Drosophila melanogaster: one gene and its partner. The protein of the gene in region 1 purifies or fractionates together with the protein of each later gene. This does not show direct contact. Each region holds a gene or a part of one and is shown on either strand. Other genes may lie near its edges.

The links.
Region 2: the proteins of Paics (region 1) and sigmar purify together in Drosophila melanogaster (affinity purification with mass spectrometry, with the first as the bait; one large-scale study listed by BioGRID). This does not show direct contact.

Annotation. Positions count from the first base shown.
Region 1 is NC_004354.4:12,755,036-12,766,125, forward strand, and holds Paics (PAICS bifunctional enzyme), read right to left. Parts: upstream 5,583-11,090; 5' UTR 5,339-5,582; coding exon 5,314-5,338; intron 4,881-5,313; coding exon 4,677-4,880; intron 4,573-4,676; coding exon 4,428-4,572; intron 4,001-4,427; coding exon 3,888-4,000; intron 3,820-3,887; coding exon 3,017-3,819; 3' UTR 2,725-3,016; downstream 1-2,724. Other genes in the region: pira (pirate), read right to left, coding at 6,263-8,308. UniProt on the Drosophila melanogaster protein: Bifunctional phosphoribosylaminoimidazole carboxylase and phosphoribosylaminoimidazole succinocarboxamide synthetase catalyzing two reactions of the de novo purine biosynthetic pathway.
Region 2 is NT_033778.4:23,695,666-23,707,296, forward strand, and holds sigmar (salivary glands marred), read right to left. Parts: upstream 6,742-11,631; 5' UTR 6,446-6,741; intron 5,205-6,445; 5' UTR 5,200-5,204; coding exon 5,136-5,199; exon of another isoform or gene 4,926-5,135; coding exon 4,633-4,925; intron 4,576-4,632; coding exon 4,300-4,575; 3' UTR 3,284-4,299; downstream 1-3,283. Other genes in the region: CG30183 (uncharacterized protein), read right to left, coding at 1-600, 777-1,476, 1,530-1,943, 2,002-2,010; mRpL43 (mitochondrial ribosomal protein L43), read left to right, coding at 2,559-2,695, 2,758-2,864, 2,930-3,264; l(2)dtl (lethal-(2)-denticleless), read left to right, coding at 6,970-7,012, 7,287-9,553; Alg3 (ALG3, alpha-1,3- mannosyltransferase), read right to left, coding at 9,866-11,112; CG5504 (uncharacterized protein), read left to right, coding at 11,489-11,631. UniProt on the Drosophila melanogaster protein: Important for modulating JNK signaling, cytoskeletal remodeling and autophagy in larval salivary glands.

The DNA of each region.
Region 1 (11,090 bases):
CAGTTCCACCGCACAGCACCCCGTAGCAAAACCCTCGCTCCCTCCCCCCGCAACCAACACTTCGGTCAGTGGCTCGGCACCCAGCAACAACCAGTTATATGTACACACATATATACATATAGCCATATCCACACATACATAAAGTACGTACATGTGCGTGTGTATGGTTCGGAAGGGGGGGGGGAACCGGTTTCCTTTTACTGTCTTGCATATTTTTAGCAACAAGTTGAAAGAGTTGCCTCGCCAAATGGGTACAGTGGGGCCTCGCAAAATCGAACTTACATATGTATGTATATTGTTCGACTTTAAATGTTTATTTAAATGTTGAAGAATGTTTATTTTTGGAAACTGAATGGTCCTCTTTTGGGCATCGGTTCAATATCGTTTGAAATATAGAATATGCATATTAAAGAAAATATTGCAAATTGAAATTAATGAATGTGGCCTGTAGCCGGCAGAGTGCGAGGGAGATGGCAGCGGGTGGGAGCGAGATGTGAAACAGTAAAATTATAATGAAAACGTGTAGAGCGATCGACTGCGATCGGCATTCGCGCTTGTAACAAAACAGTTTTTATTCGCAAAAACAAAAAGAAAGAAAGAAGAAAACCGAATCGGCAAACAGAAACAAGAAATATGTACAACAAAGAAACCCCTTGCGGTCGATGTGGAATTGGTTGAGAGGGGGGTGGCGTAGACGGATGCCACAATAGCAATAGCCACCGCAAACATAGCGCTGCGTCATTGACGTCGGCAAAGCAGCAACAGAGGCAGCGGCAGCGGCAGAGGCGACGCCGCAAAACAATTGCCGGCCATTGTTGTCGTTGTATTTGCAGTTGTTTTGTTGTAGCTGGGACCCCAACGTCGCAGTCACTCACATTTTAGCCCCAAAAGAAAAGGGCATGCTCGAATATGGACGCGGGTTCAACCTGCATAGTTTAAAGAACTGAACCTCTTAGTGCTGGCACTCAAATTGAGGTTAGGTCGAGGTTCCCGCGTAAGTAATTTTTTGCTAGCTTTATGTTTTATAAAAGAAGTTATTCTATTTTGATAATTTTTCGTTTTCTTAGCTCTAAACAAGCGTTTTTAGGCAAGTTTTTGTATCTAAAAACTTTTTTTTATAATTATCTACTGTATACACTAGTTGCTCGCTTCGCTTAAAAACTTTAAATATGTATATTAAGATATATACTTATTAATATTAATGTTAATTCAGTTTGACTATATCTGAATTTCTGAAACGCAATATCCCAAAAGCTAAAATGGCAGGGTATTTTCTTATGAACCAAGCTCTTGTCTTTTTTGTGTTTTCCTTAGTTTTCTCAACATTTTGTTACATTTGCTTTGCCATTCATATTTCTTATTGCTTATTGTTGTTTCCAACAACAGCAGACACTTGTGAGCGGGGTGTGGCAGGCGGCGGGGGGTGGTGTTTCGGTTGGTGCGCCAGAGGGAGAGGCAAAACACAATGGCCACACTTTGACCCTGACTTTTAATGTGTACATTCGCCGTCTCACTCGCACCCTTCACCCGTCCCGCTTCTCTTATGCTAAATTATTGTTATTATTATGAATTGTGCTTCGTTGTTTGTGTTTGTGCTTGTGCTTGTGTTTGTATTTTTGTGGTGTTGTCTGCTAAACACTAAAGTATGATTAATTGACCTGCGGTGGCCGGCGCACTTTAGCACATATTTTCCCGGTCTCAGTACTCCCCGTCTCCCCGTCTCCACGCCTCCCAATCCCCTCTACCACAAGGTATCCATATGATTTTCCCAAGGGGCATATATATACATATGTACATACATGTATTGTAGGTTCAACATCATTAGTAGTTTACTGCTATTAGCAGTTTAATTTGCATAACTAAATTGGCCTTTATCAATTATGTACATATATTACTATATTTAATATATATACCTAGTTTTATTAATGTAAATTTTTCAAGACAATTAAGCTAAACATAGCTATATTTAAAATGAAAATAAAGTTCATTGGTTTACATTTGATAAATAACTCTTTTATTTACATTTTTTGGAAATTTATCTACAATTTCTCTTTTCTCCAAACGTGGTTTTTAATACATTTTTTTTAGCATTCTAGATGCTATTTTAATATATAAACTATACACATGGCTAATTCCCGTTTTTTGTTTTGTTTAATAGAGCCAAGAATCACGTTTAAAAAGTGCAACAGTTTAGTCATTCAAATCGTCATCGTCTCAGCCCAAAAGTATGCTACTAATTAGTTTGAACTAAAAATTGGCAAAAATAAACAAAAAAAAACTTATTGTCGGTTCTAAATTCAAACTAAATCAATTTAAAAATTGGCTAGGGAACGAATGCAGATTTCTTCTAAACGTTGCTCAAAATCAACACAAAGTCAAAAGAATAACTGTTTTGAGCAGCTAATTACCAATGCTAACAATCCCTATCACCTTTTCAAGGATTTAGAAAAATTTATTTTTTGACCAATTTTTGCATATTTTGGTAAGGTAAATTTACAAAAAATGGCAAAAAAATAGAAATACAATTTTTGGACACAGTTGAATTGGAAATTTAATTACGAGCTCGACGAGATATGGCATTCCATACTCAGACAATTATTTTTAAAGTTGCGTCCAAGAAAGGGAATGTTTTTACTCCAAAAATGGAGAAACATTCAATCACATTTACGTGTAATCCATGCTATATTTCTTTTATATTTATAAAAAATTCAGCTCAAAGTGCGTAACATTTAAAATGTAATTTTTATTTTTTGTTATTTCGAGTTCGTAACCTGTCAAGAACGTGGTACAACAAGTTGAAGTCATGCTTTCCTAATACTAATAAAAAAATGTTTGGTTTCAAAAAAAAAAAAATAGGAGAAAGAAGAATTAACAAAGTATGTGATCTGATGATGACCTTTATGGGATCCCTGGATGATCGCCGAACGGCAATGATCAGGGAAGGATTCTCTATATATGGCCTCCTGGTTGATATCCAATGCTGATATCTCCCACCATAAGCTATGATAACCAGCAACTAAGCATTTCGCACGCCGCGCAACTCCTTGTCGGCCTTCTTGAGAGTGATAAAGTTGTTGAGCGCCTTGACACGCAATTTCGACCAGACCATGAAGTTGCCCAGCCCCAGAATGGTGGCCGCATGCAGAGCAGCTGCCTCTGGATAGAGAACTGTGGCACAGCCCAGCCCCGATGGCAGATTCAAGCTGGACCACACGTCCACCTGCATGTTGTCCGATTTGACGGGCGGACAATTGATTACCGGATAGTTGGTGCTGCCGGAAACGACTGGACCCAGTCCATTGGATCGCCCGGCGACGGCCACAAAGATCAAGTTGCTCATCACCGATTCATATTCGCGGACAATGCGCAACGTTTCCTCCGGTCCCTTGTGGGCCGAACTCACGCGAAGTTCCACATTAAGGCCGAGGGATCGACAGCTGGTGGCTATCTTCTCGCTGTGCGATATATCGGAAGCACTGCCCATCAGAATGACAACCAGGTGATCCTTCTTGGGCACAATATCAGCCAGTTGTTCGGCCACCCAAATGAAGTTCCTCTTTACGGTATCCAAATCGCTGGCCGTCACCGATGCCAGATTGCGATACACCTGCTTGTCGACCATCAAACGCTTGTCACCCGCTGGCCACAAGCGCCACGAATCGGAATCAATGATATCGGCCAGAACTATGTTGCCATCGTCGCAGATACCGAACTCCACTTTCATGTCGATCAGGGCGCAATTCTTGGTCTGCCATGCCCTCTCGAGAATCTCGAAGACCAGCAGTGTGGTTCTACGCATAATGTCCACCTCATCTTGGCCTAAAGAAAAACATGTTGCCAGTTTTAGATTTGTATATGTAAAAGTGCTTTATGCCGCAAGTACCCACCGATCACCAGGCCATTTAGCTCGAACTTGGCGGAGACAATTTGCTCCTCGCTCCACTGGGGATCGTGGTTGGCATCATCCTTGAAGAACGTCTCCTGTTTGGGCGGCGAGAACCTGCGCAATGCAAATGTAATTGTAGTAATAAGGCAGCAAATTGAGGCAAATAGATGAATAAATTAAATATCAAGTGACATTTGTATTACTTCTAGTATAATATATATTCTACAGTAACTCAAAGAGGCGAACTTGTTGGCAATCAAAGCCATAAAAAAGAGCTATTGCCTTGGTATGACGACATCAAATGAAACGAATTTACACATAGCATCTCAGCAGCATTGCCCTGGCGAAAATCTTGACTTGAATTACAGATTTCGTGGGCTTTGAGTTCACAAACGATCAATCTTATCAGCGATTGTTGACCCTGCTGCAGTGCATCGATTGCATTTGAATTTGTTTACCGCAAGCGGACACAGATAACACACAGATCGCAACAAATCGAATGGGGTGATAACCCACAGCCAGCCATTGGCTGTTTACCAACCTGTAGCCCTCGGGCACGCCGACATTGCGCTTGAGGAACGAACCGGTGGCCAGGCGACGGGTCACCCACTCAATGGGTATCATCTGGCACTTGCGGGCGATGAAGGCCTTGGCGCCGCACTGCTTCACATAGGCGGTGCGAATGCCTGTCGAATAAGAAGCATTAATTAATTAATTAATTGATCAATTTGGTTAGAAATTGACTAAAATGCATTATAGTTGATTTGACTTATATGGTTTAGCAACTCACCTGCCTCGTTGAGCAGCCGGAAGACCTGACCGTTGGTGGTATTGGAGATCTCCGCCTTGCCGGCCAGATCATGTGCTTTGACACCATCGCCGGCGGTGATGCGATCCTTGCTGAGGAGCAGGCAAAGTCCTGGCTGCTCTGGCAGATCGTACACCTGTTTGGTTTTGCCCTCGATGATGACCTTGCCGAGCTTATAGCCCTCTACTGTGGAAATTCAAGTTGCAGTTGCATTCGTTACGTTCGGTGTTTAGTTAGTATTTAGAATCGATGCTATATGATATATGATGATACTGATTTAAGGAATGGAAAGACAACTTGTTTACGAAATCCACAATTATCTTGATTTAAACAATGGAAAGCCAGCCTTCTTGTTTACAGCAGACAGCTCAATAAACAGCATTAAAATATTATCAGAACCAGGAAAATATTCCGTTGTTTTATTTTTTTGAGTAACCCGAATAACTGTTTAAATAAATCCAAGGCTGGCGGGAAAACATAAACAACTGTCTTGCTTTCCATCACATTAAGCTTGTCTTTTATTGATGAAAGATCGAATAAAAGATGGTAGCTTTGGTACTATTTACGTTCTAGGCACAACAATTGTTTATTTGGAAACCTTGGCGATGGATAAACTTACTGGATGCTGTTGTGGTGGTGGACATCTCGTTAATCGCACGTTGTTGGTCACTTCACTTTAAGAATCGAAATTGAAATCAATTGGCTGCTGGCTGTTTCACGTGTTGCGGGCTTTGCTTTATGCTCGATATTCGCTGGTGCCTTCCCTCTCGCTCTCGCTCTCTATCTCTCTCTCTGTCTTTTTCGCTCTCTCCGCTTGGCTCTATTATTACAATCCGCAAACTCCGATGTTCGTCTGCATCAAAGAATCGCTCCAAAGCAACTGAGCGTCTATAGAATCGCCGGCGCGACTTTATGGCTCGATTTTCTTATCGCCGAACCCCAACACCAATGCAAAGAGATCCATGTGTTTGCGCTCGCGTGTGTGTGCTTGCGTGTGGGTGTGTGTGTGGGCTTAGAGTCGAGTATAATGCTGATTGGTAATACCCTGCAGTTTCCCAAATGGCCGATGAACACCGCGCGGGGCAACTTATGTACTTATGTACATACATACATATGTACATTTTTTGGCAATCTATAAAGCTTTGCTTATGCGTGACAAATTTTATTGTCGCATTTTATTTACAAATTTTGTTTCTAAAATATTTTCTATTCATTTGGTGACTTTCTGAATTTTGAATTTTTCTTGATTTTTGTCCATTCTCCAACTCCTGACATCCACCTCGTCCTGCCTAACATGCTCATCCTGTGATCCTGATCTCTGTCTTTGTCTCTGTCTCTATCTCTCCAGTAGGTAGCCTCTTTATCGTCTTGTTGGCTGAACTGCTCTTTTTGGTGATTGTATGTGTGTATGAAACTTTTCCTTGAGGGAAAAAACGTATATTTCTGGTGAACCCATCTCCGCCGTGTCAATTTGCTCCTCCTAGTGTTCCAAAGCATTGCGTTGCGATCGTCTTCAGTTCAGTTGTTTTGTAGAAAATATATGTATTTTCACTTCTCTCACAAGTGGTTTATTTGAGTGTATTCCTTCTCCTCGGCGGTTTTCTGTCTTTTGAACAAACCAACGTAGTTTTATGCTCCTCTTTAGAATTCTCCTCCTCGCTATCCTCCTCATCCATCACCAGTTGGCCATTTAATGTCGGAAACTTAATGACCGGCAAAATTTTGCGCTGCTGATTGCTTTCATTCATAAGCTTCTTGATGAGATTAGCGATATCCTCACGCTTCTTGGTTACTGTGAGCAGGTCAAACCAATTGCTCAGCTCCTTAATGGGCAGTGTATAGTCGTTGATGGGTTTTGTGAAGAATTGCTCCACATATTGCAGCAGATAGAGGCCGCAATCTGTAAGATTCTGCTGTTGCGGCACCTCCACACTATGACCGGGCATATTATCCTTGTTAAAGACATGCGCCAGCGCATTCGGATACTTGGCCTTGTGCTCACAGGTGAGATAATCCCGCAATATGGCAATCGCTCGATGTCTTGAGGTGACTGCCAACGAATCGAAAATAAGTATCAACGGCTGTTTGATGGGAATATCATCACTGAGTGTCGTCTGCACATTATTATTGTTTACCACCGGGCTTCTAAGGTTTGGATAACATATAATGGCCAGTATCCAATGGGACTGCTCATTGAATGGTATTATAATGAAGTCCTTGTCGAATATATTGACGTTTCGTGTCCACTTCTCAACCCTTTCGTGACGCTTCTGGGCCGCCGTCTGCTTCGTATTTCTGGGATTCGTTCGTGTGGTCAATCTTTTGTGGAAAAACGTGCTAAAGATATGCGTCCTATCGCGCTGTTCCTCTGGTATGATGTTATTCTTTAGCCAGCGCAGATAAAAATCAATGATTATATCGTTCAGATACGATCCTTTACTGAGACACATAAAGTCCTTGATGGTGATGCTCAGGCCACCGGTACCAGTTGGCGGATATGTGAAAAGGGTTTGATTCTCATCGGGTGAAAGTCTTCTCTCGGTTTGGCCATCATCGGCGGCGGTGGTCTCCTCATCACCGCTGCTCACCAGCACCACGGCATCTTCATCAACGTCCCTGCTTAGTATCCAATTGCGATTTCGGCGCAGGCGACTACGCTCTGCGCGTTCTGCTGGTGTGGGTATAGCAGCGTCGCTAGTTGCTTTCACCGCTGGCGAGGATATGGATGCAACATTCGATTGCACCCGCGATTGAGATCCACCAGCTGTCTCTTCCGATTTCTTGCTAACAGCGGCATTGTTCCTCGACTGGATCCACTGGGAGATTGCGGGAGCATCTTCAGCTGGTTGCACGCCCCGAAGACCATTACTCGTCATTGTAGAATTGGAGGTTATAGCCGTGGAGTTGTGACTTCCCTGTTTATTGCCAGATGAACTAGGGTTGTCATGAGAACTAGCAGCTTGAATTCCATTGTTATCCTTTGCAATATGGCACTTCTTCTGTTTCTTGGCCTTGGTATTAGTATTGGCGTCTTGATCCGCCGACAATATCACTTGGCCATCATTGTTTTCTCCCGGACTCCCGCAAGGACTTTTCTTGTGCTTCTTGCCTTTGGTTGCACTTGCAGCTGGCTGGCAACCATTGTTGGCCACCGCAGTCTCTGATGGTTTGACAACCGCAGGGGAGTGCTCTTCACCGGCCATCGCATTGGGTGGAGCGGCATCAGCCGATGATGCCTTTGACTGATGCACCTTCCTATAGAACTCCTCCGCATGGGCAACCGTCTCGGCAATGTTATCACTGATGGGGAAGCCCACAGAGACAACCAAATGGATAATACCGCCGGCATTCTCAATGCAATCAATCGTGGTGCTCTCATCGATCTGAAGGTCCATTTGGAAAAACAGATCCTGCACCCTACACGCAAGATTCGGCAGCTTGAAGGTGACGATGTGCTGCTTTCCACTGCTGTAGATAATCAACATCCTGGCACTTCCTTTGTCCGGATCCGTGTCGGCTCGATTGATCAGCAATTGACGTGAGACTAATATAAAGTCATTATGGGCAATTCGACGTACCGCTTGGTCCTTCGAAACAGTTTCTTTGCGATCCATTTTGGAGCCGGATTCAATAGTATAACATATGTACGTTATATGGGCTGATCTGACTGAACTGAAGTTTCTCGTTTCGATTGCAAATTCTCGGGCTGCTTGATGTGCAAAGTTAACTGGATGGTTGAAGAGTCACCTAACACGGTGACTTTGATCACTATATTCCTTTCATTTTCCAATCTGTGTGTTTTATGCGATATTTGATATCTGTCTATTTTTATTGTTGGGGTAAACGGCGTCCCAAGTGCTGTATCCAAAAATCATCTGTGCGAGTTGCTATCGCCATCGGAGTTTTGCTGCTCATATCGATACATATGTATATGTTTCCAATTGGTATGGATTTTGTGGGGTGTTTTTAAAAATATGTATCGATAGTCCGCTTTGAAATTTGAATGTTGCGAATATTGAAATTAAATAATATTTGAACTGACGAAATATAGGCATTTAAGCGAATCTTAGCTAAGCTAAGTTCTTTGCTTTTCATTTACAAGTATTAGTATTCTTACATGTGGTATTTACAAAGTTATAAGTTCAGCCGTTTGTTGCAAGTTCTTTGTATGGGAATTTTTAAAAACCAAAAATTTATTCTCGTTTTAATTTCAACATTTTGCAAATACAAGTACAGACATTAATCAAATTATAGTTGTGCGTCCGTCATCGGGTCCACCTGTCCGATTTTTAGTCGTCAGCATTGAGCTCCTCTCACCACATGGATCGCTTGGCGGCGATAAGAAAATCAAATGTAAACAAAAATATTATTGTTTTTTTGTTTTTTGCCAAGAGCGTATTTATAAAAAAAAAAAAAAAACAACTGACAGACACACACACGTTTTCCTTTCCGCGGGCCAAAGGGCTCCATTTCGCAATTTGCATCGGTTGCCAAGTGCGGAAAAACGCATCTAAATCACAACGTTGTTAGCTGTCAGAAAGTTTGCCAAGTCGAATTCCTTAAATGTGAAGCAACTGGAAACTGGCTTTTGTTTTACATTTACAAATTTACTATTACTACTACTGTATATACTTTACTAAATAGTGTCATATCTGTGCTGGCTGCAGTAATATATTTTGCAAAATATATTTTTATTCGAATTGTTTTTTCTTATGCATATATTAATTATATATATTATTTAAAATATATTTAACATTTAAGCACGTGGAAAATGCATATGTAAATAATACAACAAGCCTGCTCTATTTTTAAATATCCAGCTGAGTACATCATATTTTTCGGGAAAAACTTATGCTATGTTTTCCGTTAGTTCTTTATTAAATTGAATTTTTCGTTGTAGTCATATAAACTTTTTTGTTTGCTCTAACCAAACCGTTCGCAGAGAAGATGTCATATTTAACTAACAGCTTTATTTTTTTTTTAAATACGCGGGACTTTAATATTTAATTCTCAATTAATTCTCGAAACGATGTTTTTAGTTCATGCTTTTTAGTTCCAAAGCTGAGACTCAAACCCAATGCCAGCTCCATGCAGCGCGGACGCACACACCGCTCGCTATCGATACCCAACAATTAGCCGTCTATCGATATTTGCAGACTATAATATTTTTATTTACACTTGTTGAAAAAGAAAGAACATTTATTTATTATTAAATTTAATTTTTTTGTAATTTAATATAAAACAAATATTAATATAATAAAATTAAAAAAAATAAGATATATTTTCAGATGCATAATCTTAAACTGGTATTGATAAACATAAGTTTGTCGGAAATCAATTGATCGGAAATTTTTTGGCCTCCACTACAAATTGAAAATGCATATACAATTTTAAGATTGCATGCTAATAACTGAAATTGAATAAATTTAAATTTGAAGAAATTCGTTTTCTGAGTCTTCGAATAGCGATGAAAAAAAAAAATAGACATCGATGTTTCGGAAAATCGATAAAAACATCGATGCATCGATGTTAGCTTCGATATTTCGGTACCGCTAGTTGCCACGAAAGTCGCTCGAACGCCGGTAACGGAAATTCTCAGCAAACGCAGCGCAACGTCGTTTTCGCGTCGCCGTCGACGTCGGCGTTGTGTCGTCGCCGCAGCAGCAGAAAATAAAAATAAAAGAGAAGAAAAAGAATCGAAATAACTGCATACGAAATAGATCGAAATAAAAAGTAGTCGCTTTTATTAAAATCCACAACAAACAAAAGCCGAAACGAAGAAAGTGAGCATTCATTTGTTGTTGGTGTGTCAAGCGAATTCCACACGCAGCCGCCAATTGTATTAAATTCGAATTGTTTAATTTAATTGTAAAGGTTTGTCCACAACAAAACGGAGCTGGCGAAAATTGCATTTATTTATGTTTAATTCGAGTGTTTTTGTGTGTGTGTGTGTGCTATGTGTTTTTGTGTGTCTTTAAGTTGATTTCTTTTGCTATTATCCTTGGCGTGTCTGTAGTTCTCTCTGCCACCCTCTCTTTTTGAACGCTCTCTTGGCGCAACCCCCTTTTACCGTTTTTTGCTTATTTTGTTTTGTGCCAGATGTGTTCGTAAGGGAACAACAATATTAACCCTTGATGGACCCAGTTTGCAAAATAGTAAATAATAAGTAAATTTTTTGACACAACGAAAAACTCTATAGTTCTTCCTATGCACTTGAAATACAAATGAACAGAAAACAAATTCATATTGTAAAATTGTCTTTTTATGCAAATGGAGTTAATTTTGGAGTTAATTTTGTGTTCTTATTTATTAATATAATATTTGAATTAAATTTAATGAAGAATTTTTTTTAATATCAATGGATGTCCTCGAACTAACATAACGCGCAAGTGTTAA
Region 2 (11,631 bases), on another chromosome or scaffold:
ATCTGTGCTGATCCAGCTGCGTGTGCACCTCCTGATTAGACTTCTTCGGCGAGACGAAGCGCAGGATCTTCTTTTTGGAGTTGTTCAGAAAGTTCTTGGACTTCTTTCCAAGGTTCTTCGGTTTGTTACCCTTCCAAGGAGATAGATTGCGCCACTGCTCGCTCCAGATGAACTTCTGGCTAGCCTGACCTCCTGCCGTGTTAACTCGACTGGGATACTTGATGGGCGTCTCCTTGTGCACCATATTTGATGCCAGGTTCTCGGAAACACTTCCGTCAACAGTGTCCAAGGAAACCTTTGGCACTACGGGCTGTGGCTGTGCTTTAGGCATTTGCCATCCAATGGCTACTTGCGGTTCCGCCGGTGTCCTAAACTCGCTGGCTGTCTTGCCCTCGTAGTTGAGCATATCGGTGATCTTGGGCTCTGTCCAGCCAAGAATAACCTCCTTGGTGGGCGCTCCTTTCCGCCTACTCTCCTGCCGAATATTCCGGTCGTAATTTGAGCCCCGCTTGGATTCCACTACGCGCTCAATGTCACTGAGCGAGGGGCAGGTGGGCAGTTGCTTGTTGCTCCTGGGATGCCTGGGCTTCTCTACCTCAGCTAAAGAAAGACGCAAAGCTCGTAAAAACATCGAAAACCAAGGAACCAATTAATGAAACCGTAAGCCAAATGTTTGGATACAAAACACTTTATTTGGTAAATACATTTGATTTTTGGTAAAAATAGTTTCTATTTGGTTACGGTTTCATTTTCTAGGGCTTACGGGTATAACTTACCCATGGGGAACGATCTGCGCTTGCTGTCTTTTTTGAGCGATGGTTCCAGCTTGCTCGTAGGCACCTGAACGCCACGTTTGCGCAGAAACTCGTCCAGCACTCGCTCGGCCTCCCGCACCGAAGGATTCGTGGAGGTGAGCGAGGATTGCGATAGCTTCCCGTCCAGACTTTGGGAGCTGCGACGCGGCGGCTTCGGAGGCGGCAGCTGCGAGTTCCGTGCCTTGAAGCTGACTTGACCCTGCGAGAGGCGCTTCTGCAGCAGGCGTCCACCTGCTCCGGAACTGCGTCGAGAGCGGGAACTCCTGCGACTTGGCGGCTCGGTGGCCAGCTCTTCTTTCTCCTGATCTTCCTCCACAGCGGATTCCTGTTCGCTGATGTTAGACAAAACAGGAGCTGAGGGCTTATAGGCTATGGGCTCATAGGAAAGCATTTTAGTAGGCTCTCTCTGTGTGCTCCTGTGCCGGCACCTGGAGCTAGAATCTGACAGTTTGTGGCGGTTCACGCGCACTTCGGACACCACACAGTTGTCGTGCAGCTCCTGGATGATGTGTATAAGCGGTTCATCCTCGCCGGCCACGGCTCTCAAGCGACTGACAGCAGTTAAGGGAGTTTTCAAGCCAGAATTTATGCTGGCCGGCTCGCTTCGACGAAGTTTCTCCGCCTGCTGCCGCTGGCTACCGAGATTGTTCTGCTTGGCGGGCTGTAAAATGTGAGTTTAATGAGGGAACTGTAGCGGGCTGGTTAGTGGCTTACCTTGGCGCTCTCAGATCGCCTGCTGCGCCTTGGTAGTCGCACGTGCTGGTCACGTGGCGGTGCCGTGGAGCCGCAGTCTCCGCTGTCGCTGGTGAAGCAGTAGCAGAAGCCGTTCTGGCACGGCTTCCCCTTGCGCTCCTGCTCCTTGTTGCAGCGATTCTGGTTGATTAGGTCCGCATCCGTGGTTCTGCGGACTCGGGGAAGTTGTCGGGACATGTTGATGTGGTTATTGTTGGTCTCGCAGTCGCGACTTTGAGTGGACACACGGCGAATGCGGCGTGCCCTAAACTCGTCGATGCACTCCTGCAAACTGAACGACGATGTGGAACCAGACTCGGCGGAATCCTCCTCCTCCTCCTCCCCCTCTTCTTCATCAACTAGAACATGTTTGGAGAACTTTGAGCCTACAAAAGTCTGGAGGCCAATATGCTGTTCATTTGCACTTGTGATTAAATAGCGATTTAATGCTTACGGTGGCCATTTTGCAGTCTATGTATTTATGGAGCTGATTAGACCAGCTGCATGTGCTCCACTTTTACACGTTGCACGCTTTCTACTCCGCTTCTACTTCGTGTTTTTCCAATCAAATGAAAAGCGACGCCTCGCCTGCATTTTTGTTTTCCGCTTTGTGCCGCTTCTTCTTTATCAGCGAAAGAGAGAGAGGAGAGAGTGCATAACAGCCCTGTCTTGCGTCAGAGATTGGGCAATTGGCTGGTATAACTCAGGCAGCACTATATTCATATGCTTGAAATTGTTATTATTTATACAATTGTTCAAATGGGCTTTACTATTTATTATTTAATTCAGCGCGGAATAGGTTCATATTTAAAAGAGGATGTGCTAGAGATTAATTATGTTCCAATGTAAGCTGGGGTTATAGGGGTTATAGCTATAAAACATAATGTTTCTAGCTAACTCGTCATCTCTGGTCAGAGAGAATCAGCTGTTTGCGGCATGCTATTACGTCGTCTCTTATTTGGAATTGTAAAAAATAGTTAAAAATTGTTTTGAATTAAAAACAAATACAGAATGTCAAACAGCCACTTGTTCTTGAAGTCCGGCTTCCCCCGTGCACCCCTGCAAAATGGATTGGGACGCTATGTTTGTCAGCTCCAGCGGATCACCCTGAAGTTCTGCAAGAATAATGGATCCAGCAGAGGCATGCGGTAAGCAAAATCCTTAAATGTTTACATATAAAGTAAAATTAATCATACGAAACGTTCAATAGCGACTTCATTGAGAATCACTTGCTGGACTTTGCCAAAGAGAATCCCGGGATTGTGGTCTATGTGAAGCCCAGGCGCCACCGCACGCCAGTTTTGGTGGGAGAGTACTGTACGTATACATAATGTATAAGGATGCTCCCTAGAATACACTTTAAATATGTCATCCTGTTCCAGTGAACGGCGAGCGCGAATGGATGAGCTGCAGGAACAGCACCCAAGAGGAGATCTCCAAGTGGATTGACCTGCTAAAGACTCAAAACGGCAGCTCCAGCTCCCTGCGACTCCGGAAAATGTGGCATACCGAAGTGCCCTCCATCCAAGGCCCGTGGACGCCATTCCTGCTGCGTTCGCCGGATGCCCAAGGCCAGGCTTACCCCAGTGCCGAGGCGTCAAAGCCGCTGGATACGCCGCAAACTGCCACCGAGAAGCTCATCGAGTTGTTCCGGCAACAGCAACTGGAAGCTGGCGAGGAAGCACACGACGTGCTGAACAAAAAGCGGGCCGAGTGATAGGGATTAGGACTTTTTGGTAATTGTTGCTTTTATTTTTATAGTCAACATAGTTTTGTTGGTAAACAAATAAATATTTAAAATCTAAACCACTAAACTTGTGCCTCCATCGCTGGAATATCGAACCAAAAGTCATAGAAAAATGCAAACAACTTATTGTCCCCTTAGCTATGTTGCCTTTCAGATAGTTTCGATATGTTTCGGGTAGTTGGAATATCATTGTGGGAGTATCATAAATAATGCTTAAGGTTACCGACCCCTTGGAGGCTTGGAATACGAATACGAATACGAATACAAATACGAATAGAAATAGAAACAGGTTCTGGTGACGACTTAGCATAACCAACTTAGCATCGACTAACGACTGCAGGTGAGATGGGTGGCTCCGATCGGCGGCGATCGGTTAAGTACGCAAAGGTCTGACTAAGACGTTGATATAGTTACTTGCGGGTGCACACAGCGAGTTTGGGAGTATCAAAAAGTAGACCACGAATAAGTAATTGCTTATGTGCCGAAGTATTTTCCATCTAACACTTAAAACTATTGTACATATAGTTACTTTCACACGTACGATCAACGATCAACTTACACACCGATAAAAGCATTTTGCTCGAGTTTACAATTTCCGTTTAGTGAATTCCTTTGGCGAAATGCATTTGGTTCTTCCTAATTATTACTACATAGACCTTGAGTACACGAATGTTAACGTTGTCATCAAAATAATCAATACGGACGTCTTTACACTTTTGATATTGTTGTCAATGTTATATCACTAGTTGAACTAAATTAAACTTCTCCTTAAACCCATGTCTTTTTTCCATTCTTTCCCAGCTCTGCTTCATCTCTGCCGCTGCTGGCCCATATTTATACCTAGATTTTGTATTTTGGTGGTGATGGTGGTGGTGGTGGTGTTGGTGGGTGAGCTTTAAGCAAGCGTTTTCCATTCGCAACTAGCTACTGGCTGCTTTTTGGTTTCGATATATAGCCTTTCGTTCATAGCACGCAATTGCAGCTCAGCTCGCTTTGCGAATCTCCTCAGATATCTCCCGTTTCCATGGCTGCGTTTATGTCCGCCACAATCTTTCCCATCACCTCGCGGTAGGGGGAATCTGGTCGGAAAGCCGTCTCCAGCAGCGCCTCCTCGCCGAAGAAATCGAACACCTCGTCGATGCGGCCCAGCGACTTTTCTGTGAGATGCGGCTGCACAATCGACTTCAGCGCCACTTGCGATTCGGCTATTGACTTTTGCAGGTACGGCAGGTCGAACGTGAAGTCCACTTCGTAGAATGATATGATGGACAGCTGCGTGTTCTGCAACAAAAAAAAATCATAATAACATGTAGTTAAGGAGTAGCATTTAAGACTCACTTGAAACTTTCTCTTAAAGAGCTCCGCCTTCTGCAGCTCCTCGTCGCTGAACTGATTGTTCCGGTGGAGCACACCGATCTTGATCACAATCTTGATGATGTTCTTGATCAGCTTCTCCGCCTTGGCCTTGTTCCCCGTGTGCATCTTGCAGAGCCTGTAGAGGTTGTCCAGCAGCGACGCCGTCGTGCCATCGATGAAGGTCTTGGCGATGTTTTTTGTGGCCATGCGTGAGAGGATCTTCTTCTGCGCCCGCAGCCCGATATCGTGCGACTTGAAGACATTGTCCGCCATGACTAAAGCGGATGGGAGGGGTGGGATTGGAATTCAGATTCAGACATTATTATCGCTGCATATTCATTGACTAAAGCATTGTGGCAAAGAAATACGAGCAGTACGAGCAAACAAAACGGAGCAACAACTCAGCAACCAAGGAAAACTTAAAACTGAACACTGAATGGTGGCAACTGAAAAGCAAATCAGCTCCGCTCTTCTCCGCGGTTTACCTTCCAAGTTCCAGTAGTCGACGCTCCACAGCAGCAGACATTGTCGAAGCCCGGCCACCGACATCGCGACTATATATCACACATATATTACACCGATTCCAGTTGCAAGCATTGATAAGGGAATTATAGACAGAGATATAAAAACATGAATGATTGGGCCATGTACATCAGCGCCGTATCTTTAGATAAAGGAAACCTGGTTCTTTCTTCGCTGTGCTTCTGTGTTTCTTTGTGCTTTACGTGAAGTGGGCAATAAAACAGTCTGTGTGGCCTACGTTTAACTACAATGAGTCACTCAAATGCAATTACTTTTACCTATAGTGCTGGGAACTGAAACATTGGAGGAGAGTCCTGTAGGACTGAAGTCTGTTTAGACTAATAAATGGAATCAACTAACATAAGTCACATTTCTATTTAAAGAACAAAACAAAACGATTAATGTACGCACAACTTTATTTGTAACGAATAATTTCTTATCGAGTGTTCGTCACAAGCTTTTAACAAACAAAACAGGAATCTAACGATAATAAGACATTCTGGGGAATTCGAATTGGGTTATCATCGTAAACACAACATAAAACGAATAAATTTGATATAAGGAATTTAATGTACAGTCAAAGTTAGAGCTCCGCTGCTCCACAACTTTGCTGCTTTCCACACACAGATATAGGAATGCTGCCGTATTAATAATGGATGACCAACTGCGCCCCTCTGACCGTATCTATAAGGTCGTTCTAACGGCGCGGCGTACGTGCTGGAGCCCGAAATGGAAATGCGGCAGTGCTTCCAACTGTCCAAACAAGGAGTCCCGATCAGAGCTAGTTGGGTGACGGAGTGCTGGGGGGAGGAAACCGCTGGCGGGTCAACAGAGTTCAGACACACATAGGTATTAACTAGAAGTCGTGACTAAGCCTAATCTGGAGCAGGGCATCCCTGGTTGCTAATTTAACTAAGTGAATGCCAGTTCCAGTTAGATAACGCCCGGCAATAGAACCGTGTCAGGACACGGACTGCTCCAAATGGCTAAGGTCACGCGAAGTGCAATAAAAGAAGGCCTATCCCTTCAAAGGAACGGAGTGTGGGTCCCCCAAGGACGCCAGTGGAGTGCGGAAGTGCGCTACAGCCGAAACCACAGAGTACTTGAGTTCGTTGGGCCATTCTTCTCCTGGCTTTCCTGTTTGTCCTGCATTTGCGTGTTCCGTTTTCGCAGCAGGAGGGTTTCTTTACCTTCTGGGTGTTATTGATTGCAACAGGCTGTGTGTGATGCCCGCCCCCTTGAAACCAGAATAGAAATCCAATTTGGCGCTCACCTGTTTTTGTTTTTGTTGTTGCTGCAGTCCTTGAATCGAATCCTTGAGTCCTTGAGTCCAAGTATGTGTGTGTATGGGTGTAATGTGTGCTTGATGACCAGTGTCCGCAAATCGAAGTGCTAGCGAAAGCAACTGAAAGGGGTTGGCTGCATTAAAGCCCGCGAACTGCGTACAATTTGCAGCTAAATTTATGCGCAACTTCGATTAAACATAAAACAACTCAGCGAACAGCAACAAAAACAAAATATCAGCCTGTGAGACCAGCTGCTTGTAGCAACCAAATGTTAGACTGAAACGAATCAATCTTCCGTGGCTAGTATTATTTTCACTTTTGGCGGTTCTCCAGTCTTTCGCAACAGAATGCGTTTACTTCCCATCTGAGCACGGTCACACTGCCCAAGAGTCCAGCTGCGTCGTTGAAAAATATTTTCGATGCCTCGAAGGTTGATTTATTTCAGAGGAAATAGCAGGAAATAAAGTTGAAAACGCAGATTACGAGCAGCAGCCGCCAAGAGGAGTGCACAATGAACATTTACAACAAGTTGCGGGCCAGGGAGCATGGCTACGGTGAGTCTTTCGCTTGGCGGGAGAATCTCACTTTTGGCGCTCGAATTTCCTGCGATCAAAGGTGTTGATTTTTAAAAGGTTTCAATGGGTTTTCCTGGCCATCTGGTCAATGTGCATCCTGCACGGCCACCTGACCACAGAGCATTGCCTAAGGGGTGAAGAAACCCGACTAGTTGCTCCACTGGAAACTGCTGATCGTGCAGAAGTTCCGTGGAAAACAAAGCCACGGCACTATTTTCATGGTTTCTCCTCTGGTTTTCGTTTTTCTTTTTAGGCAATGAGAGGACCTACGACTTCGCCCTGCGCCGCCTTTCCGTGGCCAAGGAGGACAGCTGGCGGGGCATCGCGCCGGCCAACTACTGCCCAGACTTCAATCCGGAACCGCCGATCTTCTCCGCCAAGTTCGCCAACTGCGATGGCTATCGGCACATCCTGGCGATCGCCAACGAGGACGGCAAGATCACGCTGCAGGACACCACCCAGCGCAACCACCAGCCGGAGGAGCAGTCCCTGGTGGGCCCGCAGTGCCACTTCAACGCCGTTTTCGATCTGGAATGGGCACCCGGCCAGATGCGCTTCGTCTCCGCCTCGGGCGATCACACTGCCAGACTGTGGGAGGTGGCGGGCTCCGGCATACGCGGCCTGAACTCCTATGTGGGTCACACAAGGTCCGTCAAGTCGGCGGCCTTTAAGCGCACCGATCCCGCTGTCTTCGCCACCGGCGGCCGTGATGGCGCCATTCTCATCTGGGACATCAGGGCCAATCTCAATATGGACCTCACGTCACGCGTGGACAACTGCATCTACAGCGGTCACACGGGCGGACCGGGCACGCCAGTCTCACAGCGCAAGCAGCGCACACGCACTCCCAAGATGGCCGGAGGAACCACCTCGAGCAGCATCACTGGCTTGGCCTTCCAGGACAACGATACGTTGATCTCCTGTGGTGCCGGTGACGGAGTCATCAAGGTGTGGGACCTGCGGCGCAACTACACAGCCTACAAAAAGGAGCCACTGCCCAGGCACAAGCTGCCATATGCCGGCAGCTCCACCTTCCGTGGATTCACCAACCTCATTGTGGACGCGTCAGGCACGAGGCTGTATGCCAACTGCATGGACAACACCATCTATTGCTACAATCTGGCCTCCTACTCGCAGCGCCCGCTGGCGTGCTACAAGGGACTCCTTAACTCCACGTTCTACATCAAATCCTGCCTCAGCCCGGACGGCAAGTATCTGCTGAGCGGAAGCAGCGACGAGCGGGCTTACATCTGGAACCTGGACCACGCCGAGGAGCCGCTCGTTGCACTGGCCGGACACACGGTGGAGGTAACCTGCGTGGCCTGGGGCTCCAGCCACGATTGCCCCATTGTCACGTGCAGCGATGATGCGCGTCACAAAATCTGGCGGATTGGACCCGACCTGGATGGCCTCAGCGAGGCGGAGCGGGCGGAAAAGTACCGAGGAACTGCCTCCTACGTCAGGGAGTTCGGCAAGAAGGCATTTGGTCCGTCTAGTGGAAATCACAAGTACAATCTTCGAGATCTGGAGTCCACGCCAAGATCTCTGAAGCGCCTTATGGATCAAAATGAAAGGACGCCAGGTTCCGTGGAAAAGACGACGACCAAGCGTTCGTTCCTGGAAATGCTGGGCGTAGCTGGCCAGGAGACGGAAGCCACAGAACAGCCCCAGAAACGGGCGAAGCCACTGGAGTCACGTGGAAGGCGGCTCTTTGGACCTTCTAGCCAGGAAACTGCTTGCAGGCACATACAACTTCAGTCCATAAACGAGGAAGATGCCTCGCCGAGCAAGAGACAAAAGGAGAACTCTGCCGCGGAGGATGTCTCACCACTGCACAAGCTTCTCAGCACACCAAGTCATTCCCCTTTGAGTGAGAATGTCAACCATGTGTACACCTCCCCGCCAACCACGTCAGCGGCAGCAGCAGCGGTGGCTGCAGACGCGCTTAATCCGCCGCCGATCTCCGCTGCCATCTACTCGCCCACCTCCAACCTGCCCAATTACGTGCTGGATGGCGAGGCACCGCACCTGGGCATCATGTCGCCCAAGCGGAAGGCGAAGGAGAAGGTGGACTGGCTGACGAATATCCGCAAACAGAAGCTGATGAGTGGCAGGGCCCATGTGACGCTCAGCGAAAAGATCAGCGAGGAGCAGCAGGCCGATGTGCTGGCATCCCCGCGCCTCCAGAGTCTGCGGCAGTCAGAGTGCAGTCCCAGGATACACGCCTCGCCCCGCAGACGCATCTCCCATACGGACGGAGGCGGTGGCACGCCGGCTGGCAGCTCCTCGCACTCCCATTCCCAATCCCAGCCAAAAACGCCCACTTCCAGTAGGCGAAACAGCGAGACGACGCTCCTGCGATTCTTTAGCATTCAGAGAAGTAGCAGTGTGCCGGCGGAGGAAACAACGACAACGAATGCGGCTCCCTCCTCTTCTGATCCCCATCCCCCGGCAGTGACTGCGCCCGCAGCCACGCCCCTCAGCATGCGCACGCCCACGACGGCGGTGGGCAGCGATTGACGCGGAGCCTCGAGCCACAGCACCATTATTGCACTTGTAGTTTTAAGCGGACATTGTTTAAGTTATTTTATGTAGATAGTAGGTTGCATCTATCGCGGGACGAGTTGGTAACCAACTCCCCGCCCTCTGTACAGAGCCAAAAGATACGAAAGACTAACGTACCCGAATAAAAGTAACTCCATTTTAAAGCTGCCTTGATTGATTCTCTAAAAACTAACTCGTTTAATGTACTGTTTATTCAATTTTTTTTTTGGCATAATCAAAACGGTTTATATGTGGCACTCATGGCTAACAAGTGGCACTCAGACCATTTTACTGCAGCTTTTTCTGTTGCTCCTGCTGCTCCCTCTTGGCCGCATTATTAATCCGCATGGTCTGGACAAGCTGCTTGGCCACCCCAGCGAGCAGTATGATGTGGGTGAAGTGAAGGGCAGCGCTGGAGAAGTTCGTACTGGGATAGGTGTTCCAGCAGTACTCAATCAGTCCGAGGATCAGGCAGCGCACGCCCAGCGAGTACGGCGTCGACCAGGCCAAATAGGGTAGCGAGTGGAAGTACCAGACGTAGAACTGATAGTGCAAGGATCGGGAGCAGGCCACGCCCACCAGGTTGCACAGGAAGAACGGCAGCAGGGCCAGCTGGGTGCAGCGATCGAAGTGGATGCCATAGCGTTCCGGTTCCGCCTGTGCGGGTGCCGGAGTGGCCTTTCCTCCAGACGCCTTCTGCAGGCTCTTCTCGAAGGCCTTCAGGAAGGATTGCTGCTCGGTTGTAAACTTCTTCTGGTCCTTGTCCTTGTCCTTTTCCACTTTCTTTGGTCTTTTCTGCGCGTTCAGCTCGAGGTTCTGCTGGGCTATTTGCGGCTGCAGCTGATCCTCAATACGGCGCAGGCGCACGTAGCTCTGGAAAAAGGTCCAAGTGGGCTTGGCGAAGGCCAGCAGGAGCAGCAGATGCAGGCCCAAAAGCGAAACGTGGAAGGTGCGGTTCTCGAACAGATCTCTGCTCAGGAAGCGATAGTTGACCGTCCACTTGTGCTCGAAGATGCGTCCCAAATCAAAGCTGCCCCGCAGATACTCCACAGGATGGGTGAGCAGGAAAGGAGCGCCCAGCAGCAGTTGTATCACTCCGCAGACAGCCAGCTGCAGGATCGTCCGCAGAAGTCCCAGGTTGGCCAAGTAGAACAGCAAGAGCGCAGGCGCAAACAGCAGGATGTTCATCTTAACGCCCACCGCCAAGCTGAAGAAGGTGCTACCCAGGGTCCACCTTCTGTCCAGGAACAAATTGAGTGCGGCATAGAGGAGCAGCACTGCCACCGGATCGTTGAACAGTCGCAGCACGTATATCGAGTGGATCCGATACGACGTGAAGGCACTGAGCACTAGCACATACGGCGGCACCTTTCTGCTCTTCGAGTACAGCCTCAGCACCAGGGCCAGCTGGAGCAGGTAGATCCCGGCGAAGATGTACTGCGCCAGGCGAACGTTCGTTCCGTGGGACGTGACGTAGTAGAGAGCCGAGTAGATGTACACGAAGGCGGCTGGATACACAAGAGGTCCTGTGTCGCCTAGGAAATCGAAAATCGAAGAATTTCAATTATCATAAATTAGATAGAAGGAATGCAATTAGTCATTGTTTTCATTCACTAAGCAGTTATTTCAGTCTGTTTGGGCCTGGGAAAACTATTATATCCATTGAGTTACACTTCATATTTATTTTAAAGGCAAAACTTTAGTTAACTTATTTAATATACGGCTTTTTTAACTTTAACGGTATATAACGATATTTCATTCGCTTTCACGCCGGTTGGTATTTTCGCTCGCTACGCACGCGGTCACATTGAGCAAGTGCGAGTGAGAGAGAGAGAGACAGACATTCGTAGGACAGCATGGATGTTACGGCATGTTGTTGAAAAGCTGAAAATCTGATACTTTTATGGAAAAATGATGATTTCGTGTAAAAAATTATTCGTGTTCCGGCAGCTGCCGGCGGTGCGCCGTTGCCTAGCGGCAGCCGCGTTCTCCACGCCACGCGCGACCTCCTACCGAATCCTCTCCAGCGCCGGGAGCGGAAGTACCCGGGCAGA